Linked DNA regions of Medicago truncatula. The protein of the gene in region 1 interacts with the protein of each later gene in a biochemical or structural test. Links are inferred from orthologs where the notes say so. Each region holds a gene or a part of one and is shown on either strand. Other genes may lie near its edges. The genes, in order: adagio protein 1 and two-component response regulator-like APRR9.

The links.
Region 2: the proteins of adagio protein 1 (region 1) and two-component response regulator-like APRR9 form a complex in vitro, tested with the Arabidopsis thaliana proteins (3 studies listed by BioGRID). The link is inferred for Medicago truncatula from reciprocal best matches to the Arabidopsis thaliana genes ZTL and PRR5.

Annotation. Positions count from the first base shown.
Region 1 is NC_053043.1:15,928,407-15,944,712, reverse strand, and holds the start of adagio protein 1, read left to right. Parts: upstream 1-8,795; 5' UTR 8,796-9,105; coding exon 9,106-9,335; intron 9,336-15,190; coding exon 15,191-16,306. UniProt on the Arabidopsis thaliana protein: Component of an E3 ubiquitin ligase complex that plays a central role in blue light-dependent circadian cycles.
Region 2 is NC_053044.1:45,863,693-45,879,929, forward strand, and holds two-component response regulator-like APRR9, read left to right. Parts: upstream 1-8,864; 5' UTR 8,865-9,001; coding exon 9,002-9,245; intron 9,246-10,189; coding exon 10,190-10,351; intron 10,352-10,447; coding exon 10,448-10,578; intron 10,579-10,691; coding exon 10,692-11,022; intron 11,023-11,108; coding exon 11,109-11,481; intron 11,482-11,688; coding exon 11,689-12,397; intron 12,398-12,499; coding exon 12,500-12,607; 3' UTR 12,608-12,981; downstream 12,982-16,237. Other genes in the region: transcription elongation factor SPT4 homolog 2, read left to right, coding at 1,010-1,099, 1,436-1,527, 1,618-1,673, 5,214-5,275, 5,906-5,956. UniProt on the Arabidopsis thaliana protein: Transcriptional repressor of CCA1 and LHY, thereby controlling photoperiodic flowering response. Involved in the positive and negative feedback loops of the circadian clock. With RVE8, forms a negative feedback loop of the circadian clock.

The DNA.
Region 1 (16,306 bases):
GGCCATATTCTCTCAATTTTCATTTTTTTTTTAAAATTCGATCTTTTATTTAAATTTTCAATTAACCGTAATTAACTTTTATTTAATTTTTTATTAAAAAAAACACAATGAAATTTTGTCAAGAATGATATGGAGAACGTTCTGGTCATACTACAAATAAAATAAGATGACATCATTAAAGTGACATCACCAAGATGACATCACATGCCAACCTTCTTCCATTTTGCTTCAAACTTGATCTCCAAGCTACAATTTTGCCTTGAGCTCCAAGTGTCCCAACTTCTATAAATAAAAGGAGTTTTGGAGAGAAAAAGAGGAGAAAAAATGGAAAAGTTTTAGATAGAGAAAAAAATCAGCAACACACCAATACAATTTTTTTTAGTCTTAGCATGTTTCTTTTCTTCATCATCAACAACACAACCACCACTCAAATCAACATAAAACCACCATAAATTAACACAAAAAACACCATCACTACCAAAAACAAAACAACCCTCATCTTTTGTCTTTCTCTTATTCTTCCTATAAAAGGTATATCATCTTCCCTTTTTCTCTTTCCTCTTTCTTCTATTTTTCTCTTCCTTCTTTCCTATTTCCCCTCTCGCTATCTTTTTTCATTTATTTTACACTAAATACACACATCTTAATCCAGAGTGCTCTGGTCCTAAACTAACTTTTAATATTATATTGTTGTTTAATTTATTTATTCTCCATAACAATTTGGTCCTTATTAATTCAATTAATCCAGAGTGCTCTGGTCCTAACCAAATCTTAATATTAACTTACAATTAAGTTAAATCACTCTTCAGAATAATCTGGTCCTAATTAATAATTAAATTAATCCATAGTTTTCTGGTCCAAAATATATCAGTGATATTGTTCTACTTTTTTTTTTTATCTTTATATTTCTCTAGAATATATCAGATTTAACTCCGGCGCTGTGGCGCCACCGTGATAACTCGCCGGCCACCGCGCCGGATTTCTTTCCAACCACCCATTCCATCGTTTTTTTAGAAGATAAGTAGAGAGAGAAGAGAGATTTTTTTTGGAAAGTAAAAGGAGAAGAGAGAGAATGAATTTTTAAAATGAATAAAAAACCGTCCACAACCTATATATACTACTAAACCGAACTGGTTCGGCCTTTAAACCGATCTGAACCGGCCTAAAACCGACCATGAGGCCCAACGCGCGCCTCTGTCATCTTACAAAGCCCAATTTCTTTTTTTCATTACTGCACCCCCTTGTTACTGTTTATACCCCCTTGCATCTCATCTTTTTTTTTATTCATGCATTTTAATTTCTTTTTGCATTTCTATTTTGCCTCGCATTTCATTTTCTTTATTAGTTTAAAGTCATCGTCTTACATTCTATTCACTCATGCATTTTAATTTTCGTCATTTTATTTTTACTCAAGAATTAGAATGTACTTAGGGCCAATGTACAATATAAATGAAAAAAAGTGTGTGCGTGTGTGTGCGCGCACGTGTGTCTTTTATTTTCTTTACCGCTTTATATATAAAAAAAATGCAAAAAAATTAGGTTAGGGATTATGTGGTGATTCAACGTCACTACAGAAATTCACGCGCTTTTATTTTTATTGCTCCGTCAGTCTAATTTTCATTCATTATTCAAAAACAACAAAAACATTCAAATAACAAAAATCACAAAAATATTTTCATAATAAACCTTAATTTTCAATCAAGTGATCGTTATTTTTATTTTTCTTAATCAAACTTTCAATCAATTTAATTCAACTTTGAGTCAATTTTCTTCAATATTAAAAACACAAACCAATTCTTATTTGCCACTTGGCCTTTTATTTTAAAACTTTTTCAAAGACTAATAAAAAACACAAAACCAATCAAACGTCAATTTCTACCCCGAAGTACGAGGTTTTGATCCCTCACGGGTACATAGGCAAAGGACCATGTCCTTCCAAATCAACTAAAATCGATTTTCTTTTTCTTTTTAACTCATCATTCAATTCTATTTTCATCTCTTTAAAAACAAACAAGTTATAGCACAAAAGTTGAATAAAATCAAGAGGTTCTCGTAGAATACTACGAATATTTAGGGTGCTAATACCTTCCCTAAATATACCCAACCCCCGAACCCTTAATCTTAAAAATGTGGTATTTGAACCTTTTTCCACTTTCTTTTGAAAAAAAATTAAAAGTTCAGTCGGGAAATAAAAATAGCGAGTTTATGCTAATAAAATAGCTTGATCTCCGAAAAATGACGCGACATGTGTCAACAGAAGCAAAGCTTATAGGGCAAAGAATTTGGCAGCTGAATTTGTGGAAGGTAGCTTTAGAGATCAATATAGAAGGTTACATGACTATGACAAAGAATTACTTAGATCCAACACAGAATCTTCTGTATCCATTACTAGCACCCCTTATGTAGGTACTGAGGCTGACATAGAGAATCCTAATGCCATAGTTTGTCCTCACTTTCAGAGAATGTATGTGTGTTTTAAGGGGTTTAGGGATAATTTCTTCAACTGCAGACCCATTATTTGTTTGGATGGGTGTTTTCTTAAGACCCCTTATGGTGGAATGTTATTGGCTGCAATTGGAATGGATCCTAATGACCAAATACTTCCAATTGCATATGCTCTTGTGGAAGGAGAGACTAAAGAATCATGGGAATGGTTTTTGGAGCTTCTCATAGCTGATTTTGGTGGCACCAGACTGCGCAAAACTTATACTATAATAAGTGATCAGCAAAAGGTAAACTAACTATTCATTTTTCTTTAATATGTTCAATTACTTGTCTTTAATTGCATAAATTAATTTTAAGTGTTGTTTTTTTGAAATGTATTATGTTAAACAGGGACCTTTGCTAGCAATTGATAAATTGCTTCCTGGAGTTGAGCAGAGGTTTTGTGTCAGACACCTCTACAACAACTTTAGGAAGAGATTTCTTGGGAAAAAGCTGAAAGAGTTAATGTGGAGGGCTGCAAAGGCAACCTACAGAAATGCATTTGAGAGGGAAATGATGGAATCAAGAAGATTAGTGAGGAAGCTTTTAAGTATCTGTGTGAAATTGAACCAAGGCATCGAACTAAGGCAATGTTCAAGGGTGATACAAAGTGTGACACACTAGTGAATAACATATCAGAGGCCTTCAATTCTGTTATTGTTGTTCCAAGGTCCAAGCCAGTTGTATCTATGTTGAAGGATATTAGAGTGTATGTCATGTAAAGGTGACAGATCAATAGGGAGAAAATTGCTAAGTATGCTGACGGTGAAGTTCTGCCAAATATCAAGAAAAAGCTAGAAAAGGAATCTTCTTATACCAATAATTGGTAAGTCAGGTATTAATATAATGATAAAGAATCTTGATTTTTAATTCATCTGGTGATATTTAAATTGCATAATGTAACCATCTTGTTAATCTTAATGTAGGCAAAGTGGAGATCATGATTTCCAAGTTATATATATGTCAAGCACTGGAGACAAGTATGATGTCAACTTGTTGGACAAAGTGTGTGATTGTAGGAAATGGTTGTTGACAGGACTACCATTTTGTCATGCCATTTCTTGCATGAAACACAAAAATTATAGGATAGCTGACTATGTGCCATCAATTTTAAAAAAAGAGCAATATGCTGCATGTTATTCCAGCATCATTTTCCCTATCAATGGCCAAGATCGACAGACTGCACTGACCTTCAACCACCACTTGTGAAAAGCCAACCAGGGAGACCTAAAAAGAAGAGGAGAATGGATACAAGTGAGCTGATGAGAGATAACTTACAAATGAAGTGAGCTTCTTATGAGATTAAATGTAGTAGGTGCAAGCAAACTGGACACAACAAGTCAACGTGCCCACCACCTCCACCACCATCATCTCAGTCACAATCATCTCAGCCACACCTTGCACATGCTTCTCATCAACAAGCTTCTCAGTCACAGACACACTAATTTCAACCAAATATACAGAAGAAAATTAGATCACCTAGGAGGAGAAAGACTGTGAATGTGTCTCAAACACCATCTCAGACACAAGCATCTTTGACACAAGCTTCTCAGTCAAAGGCACACCCAGCTCAGACACAATCATCTCAACCACCAATTCAGAAAAAATTTGAGATCACCAAGGAAAAGAAAGTATGTGAATGTGTCTGATGTTGCTGCAACTCAACCAACACAAAAGAAAGGAAAGAAGATGTCAAGGAAGGCAGGATTTTCATCTCAGCCTTAGAAATTAAGCATTAGAAGTCTTTTTGAATGTAATATGCACTATTAAGCACTTTTGAATGTCTTTTTGGTTAACTGGTATTAAGTAGTCTTTTTGAATGTAATATGTGCTATTGACTGATATTAAGCACACTTCACTTTGTTTTTGGTGTTCAATGTGTATGCACTTTTTAACTGTCAAGCACTTAGTGTTGTAACATTGCAACTAGTTTGATTAATTATGTGTTGTAATTGCACTTATGAATTTAATGGAATGATGTGCTATTAGGCACTTTTGCATCTTATAATTTGGAAATGTTATAATACAGCTTCTGTTATAGCATTATACAACTCAACTTAATTGTTCCTGTTATACCATTATGCAACTCAACATGCTTAAAATGAACATCAACAATGCACAATTCATTCAAACTATTGCATTCATTCATCATACTCAACACTTTACATTCATTCATCAAACACATTACATCCATTATGTTATAATCAACCTAAACATTACATTCATAACAAAACCAACTAATTCACTCATCCACTCAAATTACAAAGTTGTTCCTAAAATTCAAAATACATCATTGTTCCTATTTCAAATAAAATCCACTCAAAATGGATGTGGTTTTGCAAACTAAGAGTTAATAGGTCTTTATCCCCTGCAATATAGGTCACTTTTGGTTTTCACCCCTGTAAATTTTTTTTGTCAGATTCCGTCCTTGTAATTTTTTTTGTTTTGAAAAAACCCCCTAGGCTAGCTGACTGTGCATTTTTGCTGATGTGACACGCTGAGTCACCGTTTTCTGATGACGTGGCACACTAACTGTATAATTTTTATTTTGTACACGTGGCATTTGTTATTTTTTTTTTAAAAAAACGAAAAAAAATGCTGAAAAAATAAAAAAATACCGGAAAAAAAATTAAAATAAAAAAACGAAAAAATCTAGAAAAATAAAAAATAAAAAAAATCAGATAAACTTTTTTTATTTTTCCAGATTTTTTTTACTTTTTCCGGTATTTTATCAGATTTTTTTTTATTTTTATAAACTTTTCTAGAATTTTTCTATTTTTTAAATTTTTTTCCAGTATTTTTTCAGCATTTGTTTTCATTCTTATTAATTTTTTTTTAAAAAAAATCACAAATGCCACGTGTGCACAATAAAAAATAAAAAATAAATAAAAATTATACACTCAGCGTGCCACATCAGCGAAAATGCACAGTTAGCTGTCCCATGGGGTTTTCCAAAACAAAAAAAATTTACAAGGACGGAATCTGACAAAAAAAATTTACATGGGGGAAAACCAAAAGTGACCTATATTGTAGGGGGATAAAGACCTATTAATCCTTTTGTTTTTCAATGAACAAATCTCTTTCATCCATAACATCATCTTCATCAACTAACTTAAAGTAGCTGCATCCTTTGTCACTCGAATTCCTGTAGTTTCTACAACACCATAATTTCTTCCCAAAATTACGATTCAATGCATCAGTTACAGTTTGAATTACAACTGTTTCTCCACACCTACGATTTGGTACTACCCTTCTTCTCAAATTAGACCCAACATATCCAAATGCATATGATTGTTCATGAACTTACTGAGTTTTTGATGTCTGGTTCGACATTTTAGGTGAAGGTGTTGTGTGGTTCGAAATTCTGGGTGAAAATATGGAGAATGAAGAAGAAAAAGAATGGTGGAAGAAGGAGAAGGAAGGTCACGATGGAGAAGAAGAGGAATAATGAAAGAGGAAAAAAAACCCTAATTTTCACCAATCTTTCCCCTTTTATATTGCTGACAAGGTTTGCCATGTAATCTAATGATAGGCCCACGTGGAGAGCATACTTGGACAAAGTTAACGTTTTTTGTAAAAAACTAACAGAAGGAACCAACTGGGTAAACAGAGGTAAAATTATGGGACCAAATTGAGATAGTTTAAAGTTAAGGGACTAAAATGAAATTCAAAAATAAGTTAAGGGACCAAAACATGAATTAAGCCATACAGTAATTATTCTTTTAAAATTTAAAAGGAGTGAATACCCAAATTCGTCCCTGGATTTGCACGAATCGGCCAAAAACGTCCCCCAATTAGTCGAAATGCACGCTTAGTCCCTGAATTTAACAAACGTCAATCAAATTAGTCCTTCCGTCCAAATGCACCGTTAGTGGTGCTGAGTTGTCTTCCTGCATGACTTGTTGTCTTGTACACGTGTACAAGGACGAATTTGATTGAAACACACAAAATTTCAATTGTACTTTTGAATTCAATTTTTCCTGCTTTTCCAAATTTACCCTTGTAATATCTATACCTTTTCATGATCACATTTCAGCCATTCCATCAAAAACATCCCTGACCGTTCTTCTTCCCCCCTAACCCTTCATCATCTTCATCAACATCATCTCCGGCGAGGAACGTTGCAAAAGAATCAGTTTTGATAGAAGATTTCGTCATTTCAAAAGGTAACGCCGTTCCTGTTTGTTTTCCATGCTTGGTTGACCCTTGGATCATATAGGGCAACTTATAACTACTTTATCCAACTAGTGAATTCTCAAATATATTGGGAACCAACTCCTTATGAAAAACCTGTGCCACCAAAGGTGAGAAGGGCTGCAGGAAGACCAAAGAAGAACAGGAGAAAAGATGGCAATGAGAAACCTGTTGGTGGGAGTCAAATGAAGAGGACTTACAATGACACTCAATGTGGAAGGTGTGGATTGATTGGTCATAACTTAAGAGGATGTAATAAGCAAGGTGTTGCTAGGAGACCAAAAAATTGGATTGATACTGAGCCAGAAGAGGAAAATGTTGGAGAGAATGCAGAAAATGTTGGAAATGTACCAGGAAATGCAGAAAATCACGTTGCTGAAAATGGTGGAGGTGCTGCAGAAAATGTTGGAAATGTTAATCCTGGACATGTTGTAGCTGGAAATGATGGACAAGCTGCACAAAATGCCAGTGTTGGAAATGTTGCAATTCAGGGACAAAATGATGTCAATGGTGTTGCAAATGAAGCAGTGCTTAGACAGGTATGAATGTTAGATTCTAAAGATCGATTTTCTAGTAAGTGTAGAAATTCAGGGACTAATTTGATTGAATTTTTTATTAAATAGGGACTGATATGATTGAAATTGTTGTTGCAGTGTGTTCCTGCAAAGAGGTATGGCATTAGAGGTCCAGTTATTTCAAATGAGAGACCTAAGCAAACACCAGTGAGGGGTCCTGCACCTGACATTGTTCGAGTGCCATATCCAAGTTATGGTCCATCCGGTTCAAGTCAACCTATGTTCATGGAGTTTATCCCAACCCCCGGCTTTCCAAAGAAGTGAAGCTTGATGCATGCTTAGATTGTGCTTTTTGGAATATTTTGCTTTGTTTACATTATGCCCTCTAGTTGGGTTCTTTTTGTCTATGTAATATTTAAAAACATCCTTTATGACTTATGACTTATGAGATATGACTTATAGTTGAGTTGTTTTTGCCTATGTAATATTTCAAACTTCAGAGATATGACTTATTTAATGATATTTTCAAGGATGAAGTTGTGTGTTTTGTCATTTTTAATTCGTTTGCTGCAAATATATGCATCAAGGATCAACTTGGAAATATGTTTATATAATTCAAGGACTTATTTGACGTTTTTTTGAAATAATTCAGGATCAATTTGATAGCAAGTAAAAATTAATAGGGACTGTATTAGAAAATATTTTTTGAAATCAATCAATTTCGTCCTTGAATTTTTTTGTCATTATACATCAATTTAGTCGCTGCTTATGTGGCGTCTGACATGGCATCCCGTCTGAGATGTTAACAACCACGTCATCACCGTTAACGCCCCAAATGGACGTAGGGACTAATTTGATTGACGTTTGTTAAATTCAGGGACTAAGCGTGCATTTCGACTAATTGGGGGACATTTTTGGCCGATTCGTGCAAATCCAGGGACGAATTTGGGTATTCACTCAATTTAAAAGTTTTCAATTTTCAATGCATTGATTACACAAACTTTTATAAAAAGTTACAGTACTATTTAAAATCCTTAACCAGTGCTCCGGGGCGGAGGCACTAGTTAACATTTCCTCTTTTGAAATTTCGATACATTAACAAACTATTAGGGGGCGTTTGTTTTTGGGAAACACAAATTATTCCCAGGAATAACATACCCGGGAATGAAAATATTAAAATTTGATTCTTGGGTATTTGTTAAAAAAAGTGTTTGACAAATAACTTGACATTTCTGGAAAAATTGGAAGTTACAATTTTTTTTTTAAATCTATGCATAATATCATGGGAATGCACATTCCCATCTCTTTACATGAGAATATATTCATGGGAATAATGGAAGTTATGGGAAGTTACTCCATTCCCAGGAACCTTTATACCCAGGAATATTTTTTTCTCAACCTCATAACAAACATGGGTATAATCATTCCCTAGCCATGTATTCCCGGAAATGTCATTCTTAACCTTGAAACAAACACTCCCTTATAGTTATTCATTACATGTTGGACTTACCCGGGAAGAATAACCATTATGTTGAGATATTTGTAAGCAAAGAAAAGAAAGGCGGTGAGTACCCACTGTCCATGTTAAACTCCATCCATACAGCCCACATGTTAAAAACGAAACTAAACACAGTCATCTTTTTTCATTTTCCCCTCAAACAAACCTGTCTTAACCCTCCACCCTTTTTCTTACCCTATTATTCCTCTCCACTCATTTTTCCTCTTCTCAATCTCCATTTTCCACTACTAACACAATCAACACTTATTACTACATCAATCACAATTCACACGTATTCTCAATTTCCAACACCAATTCCAAAACGCACCGTTTCATTCATCATCTTCATCTTCATCTTCATCCCTATGGGTTGAACCTGAACTTGAACTTTAACACAATCGATTCAATTTCCCGATGGAGTGGGACAGTAATTCCGATCTAAGTGGAGACGAAGACGACGCCGTTTCATCCTCTTTTCTCCTAAACGACGACGTTGGACCACTTCCTTTCCCTGTTCTTCAAACCGCACCGTGTGGCTTCGTCGTCACCGATGCACTCGATCCTGATCACCCTATTATCTACGTCAACGCCGTTTTTGAGATGCTTACTGGTTATCGCGCTGAAGAAGTTCTCGGTCGTAACTGGTACGTCCTTTATTCTATTATTCTTATTTTTTTTTTATTTAATTTAATTTTGGATTAATTAATTATTTGCTTTATTTAGTGATGCTTTTGTTTAGGTTTAGGTTTAGTTTTGTGATTTTGTATTTTTACTTTTTTTTTTATATGTTTGATTGAAACCCTAGGTTTTAGTACCTTTTTTGTGTGTTGTAAAATTGTTCAAATTAGAAATCTTTTCATTTCTTCAATTGTTGAAATCTGTACCGGGAATTTGATTATGTGGTTTGGTGGTAGTTATTTTAACTGCTAGAGTTGCAATAAGTATATTTTTGGTAAAAAATAGCGAACAACGGATTAACTAGCTTATAACAGATAACTGATAAGCTGACTTGTAGCTGATAGTGGATAAACTAGCTGATTGAATTTGTAATGTTTGGTAAAATTAAGATTAGAAGGGTAAAATTGAGATAAATAATGATAAGCTATAAGCTACTTGAATTAGCTTATCAAAAAGCGCGGTAAGCTAGTGAAAGTGACAATTACCAAACTGGTCTTTTTTAGTCAAATGAGCCTATAAGACATAAACTATAAGCTACAAAACGGGTCTTGCCAAACAGACCCTTTAGCTACTGTAGATTCCTTAAATGGATGTCAATTACCTCGAGGGGATTAGTTTCTGCAGTTGCATACAGAAGACATCTTTTGTTTACCAAAATAAAAGATTTTGTGTAATAGAAAATGTTGGTGGTGGGAATTATGAAGCACTGGCACATACACGGACATCTGACATGATATTGGTAATAATTTGAGAAAATGGAAGTGATTGAATGTAAACATATGGGTTAAGGTTGTTTTGGTGTCGGGGACTGAAGATGCCTTTATCTGAAGTGTCGGTGTTATGTCTTTTTATCTAACTTCTACCGAAACTTCTCTTTATTAAAAAATTGTTGGTTATGAGTGGTGATTGCTTCTGATGTTTATTGCTACAAGTGAGTGCCGAGTAGTGAGAGGAAATATGGTTGTGCAATATGTTTTTTGATAGGATGTGTTTTGTATTAGCTTTAGTTGGGAGTAATATGGCAAGTAGTATTAAGTTTGAGTTGTTGACAATCTTTGGAACCATGGGTGAAGAAGATATGCGACACGTCGACTAAATTTGTAGGACATAAACTAGAGTCAGACACCAATGTTTTTGAAGTTAGTTTTATCGTTTGGGACAAAATAAAATACTATCATCTATTTAATCGTGGTATCCGACTTGTATTGATTTAAAAATTCAAAAAATTTATAGGTAAGAAATATCCAAAAAAACATGAGGTGTTTTATACATTGTACAACACATACCTGACATTGATCTGCAACCATTTTAAAGCATTGATGCTTCCCAGATAAACAATATCTAGGTTCTGTAGTATATTGTGGAAGTTGTTATAATTTCTCTATTTAGGAGCACTGTCATTGGAGAAGAAGTATAACTGAGTTCAATACTTTGATGGACTATAGATAATAATTTCTTAAGGCTTTGTTTGGGAGTTTGGAGGGGAGGGGAAGGAAAGGCTTTGGGGGGAGAGAAATATAGGGGAAAATTGAGAAATCTTTCACATTTTTTGAAAGAGTATTTTTTTAGAGAGTGATAAATTAATGCTTATGATTAATGTTTTTAATTTTATGAATATTATACCTATATTAAATTTGAAGAATTCATATAAACCCTCCAAAATCCTCCTCCAATACAATTTTTTAGTTCCCCCAACTGAGGAGGGTTTTATATTTTGAAGAAAAATAAGCCCTCCAAAGCCCCTCCTTCCAATGTCCTCCATTTCTTCCACTTGCTCCTTCCTTTTTCCAAGCCTTTCCTTCCCTTCCTCTCCAAACTTGCAAACAAAGCTTAAATAGCTCTAGTGTGATTTATAAGTCACCAAGGTGACAATTTACGCTTCTAAAAATGTATGCCCTGTTCTGTTAACGTTACATCATAGGAATTTAAAAACTAATTTCTACCATAAACCTGTGGAACTTGAGAAAACTCAATGAGCCAACTAAGAAAACCCTACAACCTACGAAACTCAGTGTTCATCCTAACCTCACCCAAAATCTTTGTTTAGATCTCACATCTGATTAGTTATATCACCAAAACATTTCTTATAAGAACCTGAGCAATCTTTATCCTTTGAGTTAGCTTTTTGAGTTGAATTAGGCCCAGATTTTATATGATACTAAAATCTACACCAAATCTGATATCAGGTCACCTGTAGATGTCCAGTGTTACAAACTTCACACTCTAGAGATATCTTGTCCTGGCCATGAGTAGCGTGTGTTAAGATCCTAGACTGACTAAGGAAGTATATTCAAACCTCTCTTACTAAAGACTTGAGCAATCCTCAACTCTGGAGGCAGTCTTTGGGGTCAAGTTTGGCCAAGATTCTGAACTTTATCGACTCGGATATTACTCCAAACTCCATCACAATTTGCGAATGCTTATCAAGCCTTCATTGTAGCCTCAAACAAAATCAGAAAGCTCTTCTACTGATCATCCACTCCCACAACAGGGAATATCCAGATACAAGGAGCATAAACTAAACCCTTCCCAAAAAAAAAAAAAAATAATTTTTTTTTAGTCATTCCAACCTCAGTGATTCCCCTCACAGATAGACTATAAACAAAACCATAATTTGGTAGAGCACTAATCCATTTGATACAGAATGGCATTCCCTTTGATCAAGGACTGCACTGCACTGGTAAACTTCAATCCCAAACCGCTGGTCCTCATCTGTCTATCTATGAATTTGCTGTTCGTCCATCTTGAACACCCAAATCAGATACATGACTAGACTCCAGATGCATCATCTTGTTATCACCATCTCACAAGTCACAACCCATGGAAGCCACTGAAACTCAGATGTACCAAGCATCTGACATCAACCTAGATACTATTTGCTGCAATCAGAAGTCAGAACCAATGGACTTGGACTGGAGGTTTGTGAACATGTTTGTCAAGGATTCTGGTGATTGCATAATGCTTTTGGGTCTTGAGTTGGGTACTATAGTCTGTTGAGAGGAACAACGCTCTAGGTTCTGGATGTTGATTTTTCCCCCTACATGATTCTCGTGTACTTAAATTAGAAAGAGGATCTGAGATTGAGAAGAGATAGAGTGAATGAACGAGGAGATTTTGTATTCGGGATTTCTTAGGTAAGGTGGTTAGAAGGCTTAGGGTGTAGTATTCTGGTTTTGAGGTTGAAGATTTTTTTCCTTCAGTTAGTGGTTTGAATAGAAGTTAGGAGAAGGGTTTATGACCTCAATTTTGGGAAGGGAAATAGGCACTTGAGTTGGTTACTTTCAAGTTTGAACCACATAAGGCGTATTTGCAGATGACCTATAGTTTGAGGGAGTTATTTTCATTTTAACTAAAAGGAAAATAAGATAGTTGATGTGGTATTGATAATTTGATCGAGACCATTAATAAAATTGGCGTATGTTAAATGTAGGATGCGAGACTGTTGGGAACCCATAAATTGTATTGAATGAAAAAGACAATTTCATTATGAAAATAGAAAAGAATAGGAGAGAAAACTCTCCTCCAAGGCCCCCCCTTCAACAATAGAATTCCAACTCTATTTACAGAAGTTTACAATATTCAATGATACCCTCTCTAATTCCATAACCTCCCTATTAATAAGACAAGATAATCCCAATTACCTAATTAACTAATAACTTTCCTAACTAACTCCTTATCTCATACCCTAACATACTTGTCCTTATCCAATATCCTAACAACACACCCCTCCTCAAAACAACCTTGTCCTCAAGGCTGCAATCTACTAGAAAAAATTCTTCAGGTTGAATGGTTTTTGTAAACAAAAATCATTCCTCCAGGATCCATTGTTGAGAAGATAAATATTTATTTGAACTGTTGGATAACTGCTTTACAATGTTGAATGGTTTTTGTAAACAAAAATCATTCCTCCAGGATTCATTGTTGAGAAGATAAATATTTATTTGAACTGTTGGATAACTGCTTTACAATGTTGCAATAGTTTCTACTGTCACTCCCTTGGGTTTCGGTTAGCTTGTTAATTCCTTTGAACAACAACTGAAAATCGCCTATATCCATGAGAATTACAGTGAATGCAGTTGCGTTGAGCTTGGACCACACCACAACAATTTGCTTTTAGCTTGTTCTTCTGTCTTTATCTTCTTTTTCCTTTTTTTTTTCTCCAGTCTTTCCTTTTATTAAACCTAGGTAGTCAATGGTGGCATTTTGCATCGTGATTGCACTGGTGCGGCGTGGAACAGTGACTGGCCGCCACTGTGAGGCCTGGTGTGTCACACATAAAGGGTACAGGCGTTACTAGGGAGTTCATGGCACATCAAACCACGCCAGGGAGGGAGGGAGGGGAAGGAGATAAAAGAAAGATTCTGGTCTGATCTACATTTTTTTGGACACAAATATCTAGGTTTTCTGGCCACCACTCATGTTTTGCTGCTTTTTGAAGCTGCTGCACCTGTCAGAGACACCATTTAAGTCCGGAAGGCCCACTGCAAAAAAAGCACAATCGATTAAATTGCGCCTTTCATCCCTTAGTTTTTTACAATAAAATAGTAGCAGTAGTAAACCAATAATAAAATAACACAATGAATCTCATTAAAACTATACTGCTTCACAAAATATTTAACAGTCAAATTTAAATCAATAATCAGATAAAGAAGTTATATATATATATATATATATATATATATATAATTACGTGTATGTGTGTAATTTTTTTGGCATATATCACATATGCACCAATAATATGGAGGTTGTTTTCTTTCATGATTGACTAAGCTTAATGAATTTTATTCGTGGGATTTTTATTTACCTATCCCTCTTCACTTCAATGTGAGAATTTTACTGATTTAAACGACACCCTGCATTGATGCAATGGCTCTTGCTCACTTGTGCTTATGCAAAATGACCTAGCAGCAGCATCATTATTGTATAATGTTATGATTATATGAATTCCTTGAAGGATGTGATCTTAGGTTGTATCATACTAGAATGTTGTTGATAATTAAGAGGAGATATTTAGCGATAATTTGTGTTTGGTTGTGTGAAATGTGAAGTCATTAAGAATGATCGACTTTATTTTTTTTGTTCTTAATAATAATGGCGGGTTTGGGTTTACTTGTATTATGCTAAAGATTGATTCAAAACTGATCCAAGTTTCACAGCTAAGAAGCGCACATAGTTTCTTCACAGCAATTCATCTGTAGATTCATTTTCTCCCTCATCTTCCTTCTACAGTTTTTTTTTTTTGTTCACACAAAGAGATGCAAAGAAGGGCCAAATGCTGAGGGGTAGTTGTGGTGTTAAAACAGAATTTACTTTATTAAATCTTACCTTGTAGCTCATTGGGACTGAGGTGGTTTAGCAGTTTGTGTATATGTTATAATTTGAAATGATGTTCTTCAGGCAGTAAAATGAATAACCTCTGCCCTGCATCAAGGAAATAATGGAAAGAAAAGAAGGCAAAAGAACACTATATTTGAAAAAATAAGCAATACTGTTGTCCCTTTGTAACATACCACACTTGATTGAGTCTCTATTGTTTGGTGCTTAATCCAATGTGCAATTATTCTAATCACACTTGATTGGAAGTTTGTGTAGACAGAAGCCTATGTCTATGTTATGATTTTGAAGTAATTTTCTTAAGGTAGTAGAATGAATAATCTGTGCACGCATCAAGTAATAATGGAAAGAAAAGAAGGCAATCGAGCACTCTTTATGAAACATTACATGTTGTGCCTTTGTAACATTTCCATGCTTGATTGAGTCTCTCTTGTTTGGTGCTTAATCCAATGTGGGTTTATTCTAATCATTTAAAATTATTTTGCAGCCGTTTCTTGCAGTGTCGAGGTCCATTCGCTAAGAGAAGGCATCCATTGGTGGACTCATCAGTAATTTCAGAAATTAGAAAATGTATTGACGAAGGTGTTGAATTTCAAGGTGAATTGCTGAACTTCAGGAAAGATGGATCTCCGCTTATGAACAGACTGAGGTTGACACCTATATATGGAGAAGATGATGAAATAACACATGTCATTGGAATTCAGTTATTCACAGAGGCAAACATTGATCTTGGTCCTCTTCCCGGTTCTACAATTAAGGAATCTCTTAAATCGTCTGGTCGGTTTCACTCGGTGCTTTCCTCATTGCAACCTCCTCCATTGGGGGATCGGAATGTGAGTCGTGGAATATGTGGGATATTTCAATTGAGTGATGAGGTATTGTCTCTCAAGATCCTTGCTCGCTTAACTCCAAGAGACATTGCATCGGTTAGTTCTGTTTGTACGCGATTGTATGAAGTAACAAGAAATGAAGACCTTTGGAGAATGGTATGCCAAAATGCATGGGGTAGTGAAACTACTCGTGTTTTGGAGACTGTTCCTGGTGCAAAGAGGCTTGGATGGGGTCGATTAGCAAGGGAACTGACCACTCTTGAAGCAGCAGCATGGAGGAAACTGACTGTTGGAGGTGGGGTTGAACCCTCACGCTGCAATTTTAGTGCTTGTGCAGTTGGAAATAGAGTTGTCCTATTTGGTGGTGAAGGGGTTAATATGCAACCCATGAATGACACCTTTGTATTGGATCTCAATTCTAATAATCCTGAATGGCAACATGTCCAGGTTAGCTCACCTCCCCCTGGTCGGTGGGGCCACACACTTTCTTGTGTTAATGGTTCTCGTTTGGTTGTATTTGGAGGCTGTGGAACACAGGGCTTGCTAAATGATGTGTTTGTTCTGGACTTGGATGCAACCCCTCCAACTTGGCGTGAAATTTCTGGATTGGCACCTCCGCTTCCAAGATCATGGCATAGCTCCTGTACTCTTGATGGTACTAAGTTGATAGTTTCCGGCGGCTGTGCTGATTCTGGAGTACTTTTGAGTGATACTTTCCTCCTTGATATGTCAATGGAAAACCCTGTCTGGAGGGAGATACCAGTCACATGGAC
Region 2 (16,237 bases), on another chromosome or scaffold:
TATATATCAGTGATGAGATGACAAATCATATGTTCAATACTTATGTCCTCGTGAGCTTAACTTGGTTGGTTTGGATAATGCATAATATATCCAAAGGTCCGGGGTTCAAACTCCGACCACTACCAAAATATGTTCAATACTTATTTTAAAATTTATATCAGTATGTCTTGTTTATAATAATTTTTTAAAAATTTTGCGAAGTGACAACTTGTCTCGTTTACAACAATTATTTTAAAATTCTGAAGTGATGAGTTGACCCTTGTATAATATATTTTATCAATCTTTTTTAAAACTTGTCTCTTAACTATTTATACCTCGTCTATTACTGCCTCACTTCAAATCTATACACATCACTCTTTTTCTACGACTCTCTTTGATATGTTGTACGTATCAAACGATCAATGTTTTACCGTTATTTTTATGTAACAATGAAATATATTTATCTTATGTTTTTATGAATATAAAAAATAAATAAATTTTAATATTCATTAATTAATGTAACAACACGTTTTTATATCTTGTAAAAAAACACGTCGTTATATATATATATATATATATATATATATTTAAAAAAATAAAACCAAACTGATACTAAACCATATTCTCAATTCTCTCACTCTCAGAATCAGCTGCTCATCCCTCTATCTCTTCTTATTTGCTTTTTTGTATAACTAATGAATATATTTTGTATAACTAATCGGATTTATTTAGTTGGCATCAAATGGAAATGACTTTATGAAGAGCAAATGAACTAAACTATTAGTTATTTGTAGTTATATGACATCATCTTAGTTAATTGTGGTAATTTGGTTGAATAAAGTAAGTTAAAGACAGATTTTACCCTTACTTTGGTGATTTGTCAATTAACCAGGCTGGGGCATTAATAGGATTTCCACAACATCTTCTCTTCTTATATTAATTAAGAGAGATTATTGGAATTTCGCTTCTTATTATAATTTTTGTTTTTTTTCTTATCTAACAATCAGTTCAAACAGTGTGTTGAAAAACAATGGCAAGTGCACCTGCTCAAATCCCTACAAGCTTTGGACATGAATTGAGGGCTTGTCTTCGTTGCCGCCTTGTCAAAACCTACGATCAGGTCTTACTGTCCTTCCTTTTCTCTCACTAGTCTTAGTATATGTTTGGTTCTCCTCTCAGGGTGCCCAATTTATTCTAGAGGTCTATAATTGATTCTGACATTTTTGGTTGCGGTCAAGTAGAATCAATTCTACTTGAAGCTATAATTTGTAGCGTTTGATCATAGAATTGATTTTTATACAAATTTTTTGTTCAATTACTTTTACCTTCAACTCGCTTTTAACAATCAATTTTACAGAATCAATACACTCAAATTCAATTTTAGTCACCGCATAGCCAAACATACACTGATTTTGTTTTACATAAATAAAAATAATCCCTGTTTTCTGATTTGCAGTTTAGGGAGTCAGGATGTGAGAACTGCCCATTTTTACAGATGGAAGAAGATCAAGAGCGTGCTGTTGAATGCACCACCCCCAATTTTAATGGGTATGTCCGTGTCATATCTATTTACATCAAAACCCTAATCACCTTTGAAGCTTCTGAATGTCATGTTTTCTTCTTCATTTTGATTTTCAGGATCATTTCTGTAATGGATCCAACTCGAAGCTGGGCCGCCCGTTGGTTGCGCATTGGTATGTCCATTTATCTATTGTAATGCTTATTATAATATGTCTTGCCCATTGCCTTTTAGTTCTCTTTCCCTTTACAGTATTATGATGATAGCATTACTTTGCAATATACAACTAGTCATACACCCGTGCAAATGGATGGGTGATACTCTACGATTACTAACATAGTAACAATAAAAAACTGAACAATTATTTAAAATTACATGAATAAGTCTAAACAAATTCATGAGATAACATCAAATAGCGATATAAATTTAAGTTTCTCACAGTTAATACCAAATTAGAATTCATTATTTTACATTATAGAAAAATTGCAACAACAATAGGTAAAGAAAACGATATTGTAAAACACAATATGGTCTTTAGTTTTTTGATACTACTATATGGTCTTTAGTTAGTATAGTAGTTTTTGCAAGACATTTACAAAACATATTGGATGTGGTTAATCTCGACAATACATATTGATATTAAGAATAGCATGATCAAACTTTTTATGTAGAGATCAGAATACACACTTTTTCTAGGTTTAACTTAGTACATAGAGATCAACATACACACCTTTTCTAGATCGATGCAGACATAACCTTCATTACAAAAAGCTAAAGCAAATGTTGTGCTACCAATTCCATGTTTTCCATTCATAGTAGTTATTTAACAAAATTAATTTTATATTTTTTTAAATCAATTGTTTGGGTTGCTTATGAGATACCAAAAACCTCATAAATTAACACCACAAGAGTAGAGAACATACTATTAACCTAAACATTAAATAATACTTAATTTTTGTCAATAACAATTACAAATTTCATTATTAAATTTCGTATTCTTCCTCCTTCCAGGCCCTTACTCGATCTTTTAGCCAAAATGTAGAAACTACAAAACATTACCATAACTCCAACACATGTAATCCATAACTTTGATTGTGGTTGAGTTGCAATTTGATATCCATAGTAGATGCACTACTTTAGAAGCAGATACGAATGGGAGACAGCATTATGTGGAATGCCGTTGTACGAATTGGCAATCACAAAGTCATTATTCAAAAACATTCTACATATCGTTGTCTCTCATTCACGTCTACTATGGATACCAAATTGCAACTCAACCACAACCAAATTTATGGATTACATGTGTTGAGTTGTGGTAATGCCTTGCAGTTTCAACCTTTTGGTTAAAGGGTTCAAGTAAGGTCCTAGAAAGAGGAATGCAAGATTTAATTATGAAATTTATTTGTAACTAACAAAAATTAAGTTACGTGGAATGTTTAAGTGAGTAGAATGTTCTTTAACTCCTTTTAAACACCATGAGTGTAAACAACATACTATTCACCTAAACATTGAATAATACTTATATATGGTAATAAGTTTCATAATTAAATTTTGCACTCTTCCTCCTTCTTGGACCTTACTTGACCATTTAACTAAAAGGTAGAAACTACAAAACATTAACTTTGATTGTGGTTGAGTTGCAATTTGATATCCTTATAAGAAGCATATATGAGAAACAACATTATGTCGAATGCCGTTGAACGAATTGGTAATCACAAAGTGATTATTCAAAAGCATTCCACTTACTGCTGTCTCGCATTCACATCTTCTTGTTATGGTGCATATACTATGAGTATCAAATTGCAACTCAACCACAACCAAATCAATGTATTACATGTGTTGAGTTATGGTAATGCTTTGCAGTTTCAACCTTTTGGTTAAAGGGTTCAAGTAAGGTCCTAGAAAGAGGAATACAAAATTTAATTATGAAATTTATTCTAGCTGACGAAGATTAAAGTACTGTTTAATGTTTAGGTGAATAGTACGTTATATACTCTCGTGGTGTTAATTTATGAGATTTCTGATACTCATAAGCAATTCATTCAAGATCGTATTCAAAGCTTGGTCACGCTAGTTATACTTTTTAATTTTCTTTTAAAGTCTGGTCTGCCACCCACTACACTAGACACACGTGGTGGCTTTGTCACTATAAGGCTCTGATCTGTCACCCTCTGAAGTTTCGTCGCCGAAGAAGTTCCCACTCGCCATAACAATCCGTCAGACTTTTCGGCACGTATTGGCCACTTGCCGTCGTAAATCGTTTTGATCAAGAAGCTGTCGGTTCAGGTCATCTCGTGGGCGCCTCTTCAACCTGTTTTCGAGGTCGTTTGTCTGATGCAGAGTCTTTATCAATTCTATCCAGCAAACCCTTGCTCTTCACTCATTGTCTGAAGCTACCGTCTCTGTTTTTCTATTCGTGCACCCTTGCAGTCTTAAGATCCTCTGGTTTTTAAGTCCAGTAATTTTCCATATTATTCTCATCGTTCTTGATGGCAGAAATCTCTAGTACTTATTATGGTATTAGAGCTATCCTAGATCATTAGTATATAGACTGACACCCCTCACCTTACAAGCCAGTTTTGTAAGCTCTGCCCAAATTCTAACATGAAATCACATTCAAAGATTTTGCCAATAATGTCTAATAAGGAAGGAGTATATAAACATTTAGTGGTTGTATCTGACAAACTCCTTAAACATGTCTATACATTCAAAGGAAAAAAAAAGCATAAACAATATAAAAGCATATCATTTGAAAGCTTCATGCTTGGCTGTTTACATTTTCCCTCCATTTCCTGTTGTAAGACATTTTCAAAAACACCCTGTGAGTGCACATTTTGAGTATCAAATTAAATCCAAATCAAATGAACTTACATACAATCTCACAATTAGCACTAAAATGAGAAGAAAAAGACTAAAGAGTTAGTCATTCGCCGTCAATCTCACAATTTCATCATTTCAGGAAAGTTGAGATGAGAATGTGGAGACAGCGATTTGTTCATATGTTAAGACAAGGATAGAGTACATGCCATCTAAGCCCGGCTACAATAAAGCTCACACAATGTCTACAGCTGCAGAAAATCACAAAGTCACAATTGAAATCTATATAGAAATAAAGAGTCACAGTCAAAATCATAAACCTTAGTTGCTGTTAAGATTTTCCATTTACAGTCAAGAACCCCATTTTCTTAGTCTGTTTTGAAGAAGAGGCTACGTTTTAGATGTAGGTTATACAATGTTTTGATTATGGAAGATGGGCACTGAGCAGAGGAGTGAGAGATGGGCGGAGAGCAAAGAGATGGATAGAAGAGGAATGTGATATAAATTGTACCAGTTAAATTTGAATTTTGAAAAAAAAAAACGAGCAAGTGAGAAGCTTTTCCTTTTTTGTTATAAAGAATGGTGCCAGAGAAAGAGATTGGGGTTGATTCAAAACATGTAAATTAGTACCTCTGAATTAAAAACTGGTGATGTAATTTAGTGAGTGGCACCTGGAGAGAATTTTCATTTGTGTGAGCTAAATGTGTATATTATTATAGAGATAGAGAAATTGTTGTGGTGTTTTTTTCATTTGAAGTTTATCTTCTTTGTTTATTTTTTTCTTTCAACTGTGAAGTGCCGTTTAATTTTTCTTTTTTAGAATCTCTATCTAGATTGAAGTTTGAAATCTTGCACACAACTGAGATGTGGAAATTAAAGTTTTTCTTATATGTTGCAGGAAAATTTGTTCCTGGTGTTTACACTCTTGCTGTCTCAGAGGCTCTTCCAGACGATATGCAGGTTTGTATTTTTCTATTTGTGTAATATAGATTCAGCATACATTACTATTATTTTTGATAAGGGACTTTGTTTTTGTTATTACATAGTTGTCTCTTTTCAAGTATAAGATTGTGCACCTCTTTTTTTATGCCACTCTCTCAAAAACCATAATTTAACTTTAAGTATTTTTTTTTGGGGATTTCCCCCTAGGCTGTGCTTTTATCCATTAATTTACCTGGTCGGATATAAAATAGTTGGCAGTTTATTCTTTGTCTTTTGCAAAGGTGTTAAAAATTTAGGGAAGCTCTAAACACACAGGATGTGTTATGTGAAACACCGTTGCCTTCTGAGTTGAGATTTTCATTAAATGCTCAAGTGGTTATAATGTTTGGCCATGGCAACTAAGATTAGGTTATTTTTGCAATCAGTTGTTTGTTCTATTATGAAGTATGAAGAAGTCAGTGTTGCTCAACTTGTATAACAAAATAAAAGTTTTGCTCACATTTGTGCAAAGCTGCCTGATACACAAAAAACATTTTTTTTTGCCTTTCTCTTGTATCAGCCTATCGAACAGTTTACACTGAATTACTGTTGTATGTTGAACTTTGTTTATTTATTTATTTATTTATTTTCTTATATGCCCATTTTCAGGCTATTTGTGAGGATAAGCATGTGCCATATACACTTCCCAAACGTTCGTGAAACAAGTAAATATAGGCCTTGTGACATCTCTAACATGGTTGGAATCGAGTACGTATTGATGTGGACTTTAGTGCTAGTTATGTTTGAATGCATTATTGAAATGCGTTGTTAAAATTATCTAAACAGAAGTTAGTTAGTGTGTACGTGAGAAGAGCTCATGAAACTAAATGTAATATAGGCTTCCTTTTGACTGATATGTTGTTGGCCAAAGTAATTTATCAAACTACTATCATGCAAGCGAATTACCAATTTGCGTTCTTTTGGTCATGCTGGAAATTTTCACTTTGGTTTATACTCCATCCGTCCCTATATGTAAGCACCCTTTGCCTCTAATAAAAGGGTTTTTAGATATAGGGACGGAGGGAGTACATGATAGCACCGACAAGTTTTTTTATTTTTATTTTACATCAATTACGATACTAGCAGTGAGTTTGAACTCATAATCATAATATTTCTTATGTATTAATGTATCCGTTCCTATATGTAAGCATCCTTTGCCTCTAATAAAAGGGTTATTAGATATAGGGACAGAGGGAGTACATGATAGCACCGGCAAGTTTTTTTATTTTTATTTTACATCAATTACGAGAGTTTGAACTCATAATCATAATATTTCTTATGTATTAATGTCAATGGTGCAAGTGGTGTCACCGTTCTCGTCCCAGTTTCTTGTTCGAAATTTTTAATCAATAATTTGTTTCTATCATATTGAAATGGTTTGAGAAAATAAAACAGAACAATAGGTGTGAAACATGGCATCATATCAATTGAAAAAATGTTGTCACATACATGACAAAAAAAAGTAATTATGATGTGTACAAATCTATTTTACAAGGGATTATTAGCATTAACACGAAGTTCGGGTCTATGTAATCCATTTGTATACTGAGAGATCGCCTCCCTTAGGGCCGGTTTGGATTTAGCTTATTTTGTGTTTATGAAAAATGATTTATGTAAATAATTAAGTTTTTATTTTAATTTATAAGCTCTTACTAACGAGAATTTTATCTTCATAAACTGTTTTTTTTTTTCACAAAATACCTTAACAAACTTGTAAATAATATATAAAAGCTTATTTTTGTATAAGCTGTTTTGTATAAGCTCAAAATAAGCTTATCCAAACAGGCTCCTCGCTGCTTAACTAAAGCATTTTATATATATGCTAGTCAACTACTCATTTGAGTTTTTTTCCACCTGTATCGAGCATCTTTTTTATGGTATCCATAAATTGATGCTGTCACAAAAATATGTATGAGTCTCTGAACAGATTAACCTGATGAAACTTCATACAAGATGTACCAATTGTGCTCATTTGAGTACTCAATTTATTTCAATTTGAATCTGAATTAAATCAAATGGCCGGTTCTCAATTTGAACTTATTTGATCACCGAATCTTCTTTTAAGCTTTTGTAGTCAATTATACGTTTCAATCATCTCAGACAATTCTTGCAAACTCCACATTACTATTATAATTGAAAGGAGTGGCACTTGTATATAAAAAAGCCTTTACTAACTGTTGATGAACTTCTTATTTGAGATCCTTTACCATCATTTGATACATTGTTTTTTAAACCTCAACAAATCAACTAACTTTTCCCTTTGATAGTATCCATTTCCATTTCCATTTCCATCTCTCAACTAACATAACATAAAAACTTGCTTTCGTTTGAAAAGTATCCATTTCCATCTCTTGGGTTTCCTCAGCATGTTTCTCATTGTTTTTCAATTGTTTTTTTTTTTCCTTTCACACATGCTTCTATAATTTTGGCAACAATCTTAAATATTTAACTTCGTTTGGGACAAAAGCATAAGAAAATTTTGAGTTAAGTTCGATTTCCAATAACATTATTTATTGGGAAAAAATAAATTACAACTTTTTAAAAGATAAATAGACACAATTTCTAAAATGAAATTTTCACTTCAAATTTCTTATCATGAGTTTTTTTGTTGGATGATCTGATGACTAAAAAATAAATGAGTCTAACATTCAAATTCTGACCCTTCCATACATACATAGGTAATGTTAATCGGTGCCTCCGACACACTGGTTAAGAAGTGAAATGTAGTAAGTATTGCATTGGAACTTGCGTTGTCAAGTTTTCAAAAACATAAAAAATGTTATTTTTATCTTAAAACTTACTTTTTTCGGTTTCCTTAACCCGGACACTGGTTAACATGACTTTACGTATATTATGCATTGTCTTTATCAAGTATGTGATATATGACGAGAATTAATAACACATGTTATCACTTCTTTTACTATTTTGCAAGTCAAATTTTGATAGATGATATATATTGACCTATAAAAGAGCGAGTAGCCAACATCTGCCCGCAGCATGTGATTTGTGAAGACATAGATAGAGTTCGACGACTTCAAAGCCACAAAACAAGACATCCTCAACTAAATTGCCACGTGTATCACTATTGTCCATGGGATTCTTGGACAGCCTCAAAGCACTCAAAAATATCTTCATTTTTTTGGATTAAAAAAATTAATATCTTTCTCCAAATGGGTCCATGTGCATTCCGAATTGTCCCTCATACAAAAATATCCCCTTGATATTTTCCATTTGGACACAACTTGGAATTCAAGAGAAAGTTATAACCAAACAATTAAAGCACAAAAATAGTTTGAATAAATTGAATAAATGAGTGATTGAAATGATATCCACCACTAATACAGCAGCACCAACCACGGGTTTATTTCTTTATAGATCTAGTTGATGACGTGGACCATGTGGGCCAGTGTCTGCATGGTTTCTAGATATTTTGTGCTAAAAGAATATATTTTATAACCGTTGGATTAGAACCTTGTTACCTTTGGTGTCACAATCTGTACCATTAGATCAAACTCTATTACCTTAAAAAATCTTGTACAATATCCATATATATACAATATATTGCTTTTTTTCTTTCTTCTTACTTTCTTTTATTTTTCACCTTCCAAATTGGATATTTTTGTTGTGTGCTAAGGTTTTGTTTTCTTGAACAAAGATTCTGATGCTATACGCTGATTCTTGTCTTTGGATCCAATAAACAACAACATGGGTGAGGTTGTAATGAGTGGTGAGAAAATAGTGAGAGTGGAAGAAGAAGAAGAGAAGGTGAGGGAAGAAGAAGGGAGCGGAGGAACTGAGAGTAGAGGTGCTGGTGGTGGTGGTGAAATGAAAGGGCTTATGAGGTGGGAGAAATTCTTGCCAAAAATGGTTTTGAGGGTGCTTTTGGTTGAAGCTGATGATTGTACAAGACAGATTATAACAGCACTTCTTAGAAAATGCAACTATAAAGGTACTATTTCTATTATTATTATTATTATTTTATTGTACAAGCTGATGTTTTTGTAATATTGTTTTGTGTTTAATTGGTTATTTAATTTTCTGTAAGTATTCTCAATTTTCAATTTTTCTTGTGTGCAAATTCATATTTTTTTAGTGTAAACTTTGATTTAATTAATTGTGAATATTGGGTTATATTGAGGCTGAGTTGTTGTTAATTAAGAGTATATATTTGACACATGACAAAAACAGGGGGAAAAAGCTTACTAGTAATTATAAATTTAGAAGTTTTTGGACTGCAAATTTTGGAAAGGATCAAGGCTCAAGGGTGTACTGATAGATTTGTAGATTTTGCTGATTTAATAAATAAAGATAAAAATTAAGGGGATGGAAAACAAAATTTGTGTGCACTAATTAATTGAAGACATTTTGTTTTTAATATGGTTTGATAAATTTTAACTCATGAGAAAAAATGTAAAAAATCATGTAGATTTTTTTACAGAGAAGTGACATGGATTTTTTTTTTGGCTTTTGCACCGGTTTCCGACCCACTGGTGAGCGACTAATCCGGCTCATGCGTAGAGGCATGGGCACTTGCCAAGCGTTGTTCCCCCCGGGAATCGAACCCGGTATTCCCCGGATACGTCCTTGGAAGGAGCTCCTTGCCATTGGAGCCCAAGCAACTTGGTTTAAAGTGACATGGATTTTGTTAGCTGAAAATCTTAGGAATTTATGGCACCTTGAAATAGAGTCTTATAGCAGTATGGAAATTACTAGGCTAAGCCATAAACTTGGTACAATTATTCAATTTATTTTCAATTTTTATCTGCCATTATGATTTTATATTATTGAGTTTTTTTATCTTGGTTGTGTTGTAATTTGAAAAACAAAATTAGTGTACTTGAAAGTAAATCTAAGCTCTAGAACTTCAAAATAACTTTGATCTGTTTTGAGCAGTTGCTGCTGTTGCTGATGGCTTGAAGGCATGGGAAATACTCAAAGGAAGACCGCGCAGTATTGATCTAATACTTACAGAAGTCGATTTGCCAGCCATATCCGGCTATGCACTTCTCACATTAATTATGGAGCATGATATTTGCAAAAGCATCCCTGTCATAAGTATGATATTAAAGATAAATTTTCTTTCTGCTTGTCAATTTTTTTCCTTATTAATACTTATATTAATTGTTTTGTATTTTTTTCATGCTTTTCCAGTGATGTCGTCGCAAGATTCAGTTAGCACAGTATACAAATGCATGTTGAGAGGTGCAGCTGACTATCTTGTTAAGCCAATTCGAATAAATGAACTAAGGAATTTGTGGCAACATGTTTGGAGAAGACAAACAGTAGGACTTCTGCTCTCTCAATTTTCAGTTCGTTTTCAGTTTTTCCCTAAAATACTAAGAATTTATTAACAAAATTGGTTGAACTTATGTTTATTATTTGTTTACTCTATCAGCAGTCAGCCGCAACCGCTGGCATAAATGGCCCTCAAGATGAAAGTGATACACAACAGAAGTTTGAAGCCACTGCTGAAAACAACGCTGCTAGTAATCGTTCTGGTGGTGATGCTGCTTGCATTCAAAGGAATAAGGACTTAATTGAGAAAGGAAGTGACGCACAGAGCTCTTGTACAAGGCCAAACATGGAAGCTGAGAGTGGCCTGGTTGATAACATGCATGAATTTTCTCAGCTGAAATGTGCGGAAGCATATCCAAGTGAAATAAAGACACGAGAACTTGACATTCATTTAGGCCAGGCTGTGATCGCGCAGGACAGTCACGCCGGAGGTAAATTTCTTTCTTTCACAGCAATATCATTTTGTTCGACTCACAAGGAAGAACTATCTAAAATTTGAACAAACTTTTATTTTTAGGATTAAGCGTGGCTAACTGCAATAATGGAGTGGCAAGCACAAATAACTGTAAAAATGGAGAGACAGGTGCAAATAATTGCAAGGACGGAGATGATCAAGAGCATTTTAGGAATGCTAGCATCAGTGGTGAGGTTCATGACAATCACTATGTTCAAATTTACTCTACTACTAAGGAAGCTATTGACTTGATTGGAGCATTTCGTACTGATCCGAATTGCAGTCTCAAAAATTCATCAATTGATTGCACAGGCAAGTTTGACCATTCTCCACAGTTGGATCTTTCTCTCAGAAGCTCTCATCCCAGCAACTTTGAGAAGGATCTCACCGAAGAAAGGCACACCCTTATGCATTCTAATGCTTCAGCTTTCAAGCGGTAATTGCTAAATCCCTTTTTATTCTAATTTTTTCCTTTCCGTGTAGTTAAAAATTGTTGTAATCTTAGTGATGAGTCTGAAGAACTTCAGAACATTATAAGGATGAAGATAGAAAGTGTATGAATTTTGTACTTGTGGTCTCTATGACTTCTCCACTCTGTTGAATTCTGCATGCTTATCACTGAAACGGTGTTCCATTCATGCAGGTATACTAATAGGCAATTGCAAGCATCACCTGCCGTAGTAATTAACTTCTCTGATCAACCAAGAGAACAAAAAACAAATAATGAGAACCATAACTCAGATAGTTCAATACCAAGTATGCAAAAAGAATCTGAACTTGCAACTTCACATTCCCAGCAAAGGCATTCTCTCCCAATTCCTGTGAAAGGTGTAAGGTTCAATGATCTTTGTATGGCCTATGGTTCAACACTTCCACCAGGGTTTCGTACACAATCAGGTCCACCATCAATGCCCGGTTCAGTTGTGTTTCTCGAACAAAACTTTCAAGCAGATGCATTTTATCAGTCAAATGTTAAACAAAATAATTCAGAGCAGCTTTACGAACCTCGCGGTCCAAATGGAAACAGTACTCCAAACCAAATTATGTATACACAGGAACACAAGTCAGAACATCCAGAGGATCAAAGACTTATCTCCCCTACAACTGATCAAAGTGTATCCAGTAGTTTTTGTAATAATGGAAATGCCAGCAATTTTAACAGCATTGGTTATGGAAGTAATTGTGGAAGTAGTGGCAATGTTGAACAAGTTGCCACTTTCAGAACAGCAGCAGTTTCAGAGGGAAAGAATGAAGAACTCACAAACAGTGGATATTCACATCGAGCTATGCTACGAGAAGCAGCTCTAAACAAGTTCCGTTTGAAACGAAAAGAGAGATGTTATGAGAAGAAGGTATATCAATATCAACATCAATATGAGCTTGTAATTATACAAGTAAGATCAATGATCATCATTGTTTTCATATTATGCTAACTTATTTATACTTTTTAACAGGTTCGATATGAGAGCAGAAAGAAACTAGCAGAGCAGCGTCCTCGAGTTAAAGGACAATTTGTTCGCCAACCGAATCCTGATTCTCTTTCTGGAGAAAAAGATTGCTAAGAATACTGATTATTACATTAGCAGATATGTGACTTAGTGGAGAGGATAGTGTGCTTTGTTAGCATTAGTTGCTTCAAAATTTTGTTTCCTTGACTTCTTAAGTACCAAAACCACTTGATCTGTATATGCTGTGTAAAACCATTTTTCTTTTTTTGCCTTTCCTCTAGATCCTGATATATATTTAATAATAACCTGATATACAGTTGTAATTTTATATAGTTTTATAGAGATTGTCGTGTCTCATTATTTAATTTTTTTTTTAAGGATTTGTGTACTTATTAGGTCTCGCTGATTTATCATGTAATGTTGGAGCTTCTTGTACAATATCATATTAGTATGACTCTGTTTGTGTTTACAGCAACCGGTTAATTGTATTTTGTTTATTGGTGATAAAATATTATACAACATCAATTATCCAACAAGTTTCTTACAAAATGGTTCAAGTGTTCAACACAATATATTCTCATTCAAAGTTTTGTACAACTCTTATACCAATTTTTGTTTTGTTTTGTATAACAAGTTCCAAATTATGCGAAACAAGTTTCAAATTCTCCAATATCTCAAGTCTCAAATACTTGTTAGGCTTGTTGATCTATGTGCCCCTGGTAGTCGATCTGTGCTCATAACTATTAAAATCGAGACTAGATATTCTAATTTACTATCTGAGTGCCATACCCGTTTGTTCATCAATCTATCCGATATTTTGATTATAGAACGCTGGTGCTACATTTCAAAACAACTAGATATTCAAAGAACCGGATAGATTGATGAACAAACAAGTTGGGAAGTCTTGGTAAATTCACAATCATACTCTTTTGGAACATAATTTGGTGCATCGGAAGTTATTTTCCGATCCCCCTGAAGTTACAGAGGCATTTTCAAAATTTTGGGGGCCTGTGAGGAGTGTGGGGGCGCATAGAATAACTTTCTTATTTATAAGGGCTGCATCAAATTCAGAATGAGCTTAATTGGATGGTGTAGTTGTTTTATATACAGAGAAGAATGCACTACTTGATCACAAGAAACAATTATGAAAAAGAGTTATACTCTTTCATAAACGAATTCGAACAAAGTGAATAGAGGTTGGTCTAGTAAGTAAGAAGTAAATTCATGTTCAACAGAAACAGAGTTCAACTTCCTCTAATCTTTGAAACTTTATATCATGCCCCAATGAAAACTTTGAGTGAGACTATTCACCTAAATTTTTATTGGCACATGACTAAATACATTCAATCATGTAACAACACACTCTTCAACTTGAATTTCAAATTCAGGAAGAAAAAAATATATTTTGGAACAAATCCTTCCTCTTTTTCTTGATGTTTTAGGACTTCAATTATTTTTAAAAATATGTGCATGTCTTTTTAAGGCTTTGCCAATTTATTTTGAAGTTCCCCTAAAAAAAGAAGTCATTTTAAAGTTCATGATGAAGATGTCACACTAGTATTATTTAAAGAGTAAATTCAATTTGATCTTATCAGTATCACTCTTAACTTAGTTTAAAGATGTATCTTTTCAAATTAAAGATATTTTTTTTGATGTAAAAAGATATTTGCGTTGATCAATATTCTGGAAGTCTTTGGAATGTTCTATTGCTTGATTGATTCTTTGATATACATTAATATAATAGTATGGAAAATATGAGAAGTTTTTTTTTTTTTTTTTTACTTCTAAAATAAACCAAAATCCTCACCTGCAGAAAGTAATTTTCATATATTTTTTTCTTAAAAAAATTTAGAATATGTAACTTTGTGAATTTAAAACAATTATTGAGCCACCCCATTTTTAAATAGAGTGCTAGCATAAGAAAAGCCAGGAGATAAAAATCAATTCCTTTTTCATAAAATAAAAAAAATCTCCTTCACTTGCTAATATCTTGAATGATCTTATCCCCTGAAATTTTGAAATGCGCAGTTCAAAATTATGGACTCAATCTCACGTTCAAAGAATTGCTGCACTTTAAGTTTGTGGATAAAATTAAAGAAGAAATTAGAAAGAATACGTACTTTAGAAAATGGACAAATGCAAGGAGCCAAATATTACATACACTCAATCAGGGGACCCCTTGGAAAAAACAGTGCCAAAAGTTGTTTGAAGTGTAAGTAAGTGCTTTTCAATTTCATTGCTTGTACTTCTTAACAATCATATTTCAAGTTTGTTTACTTTGCTTGTGTTTTCACAATACACTTAATCTATTTTATTGATCTCTATAGTATGTTTGATTACTAGGAACCTTAACCCAGGGATGGCCCTGAGGGTGGACGGAAATGGCAGCAATCTAAGGCACCATTTGTTTAGGGCATTATAATTATTATTTTTACTTAGTAGTTAATACTATATAAATATATTTGTTTTGATTATAAATAAATATTTTGTAACAAAAAATGTAATAACAAAAATATTGGAATGATTAAAAATATTATTTCGCCCTAGTCATAAAAAAAGTCTTAGGACCGATCCTGCTTCAACCAAATGTACATATAGACAAAACCGACATAACAAGAATTTCAGAAGTTTTATATTATCTCCCAATTAAACTAAACAATATATGTCGTTTACCCCTTTTATATATTTTGAGCAAATTGAGAGTCTTAAGATAACAAAGGTGAGAAGAGGAGAAACCACAAAGTTATGGGGTCTTCAACTCTCTCTTAATTGAATTGAAGGGGTTGGTACTCAATAATAACTGACAAAAAAAGGAACTTTTAATGTCAAACGTCTCTACCACAAGTGCTATTTGAAGTTAACTACTCACTAGAAGGGTCCAAAATTAAAGCAATTAAATGGTCCACCATCACCATGTATGCATGATGAACATCCCATGCTAATCTCTTCTTAATTATTTATTTATTTTGCTATTAAACTATTTTAAGACTTTGATGATTAATCATATCGATTAAACCATGGAAACTGACTCTGGCCCCGCAGCTGAAAAATCATGTTGAAAGTGGACAATTATCTCAACTCAAAAAGCGAAATTAAAACACATTTAAGGACAAGAAATCATCAAATAACAATAATTTCGTTTGTTTCCAAAAAGTCATTTCATTTTTATTTTTATTTTTTTGACTCACCAAAAAGCCATTTCATATATTCTACATGTTCCCTCCTTTTCATGTTCACTCAATTAATTTGAGCTAAGAAAATTATAGAGTTAAAAAGTAAGAGTTTAAATAGCAATGAATGAGAAAATTATAACATACCATCTAATCGTTTTTTAGTGGTAGCCCGAATTTGAATCATGAATCTTACATATATTATACATTATCCCTATTAACAGGGCTAAGCTTAAGAGGACACATAACATCTAATCTAATCTAATATATACTAATTTTTATTCATCCAAAAAATAAATAAAATGACAATATGAGATTGGGCATGCATGCATGCCACTAGGCCATTTCCAATTCCAATCATGAAGAAAGGCTATTTACGCTACCTCCTCTAACTCTCTTTTAAAAAGCGTTACTTTTGCTTTTTTTTCTTCCCTAATCACCCTTTCTTATTATAGCTTAAAGAGTTATCACCCCCATGTCCCCATCCTCTTCCTTCAATAATCGTGGCAGTATCATAATGTATGTATATACTACTATATAGTATCATTTTAAATTTAGCAAAATCGTTATCTTA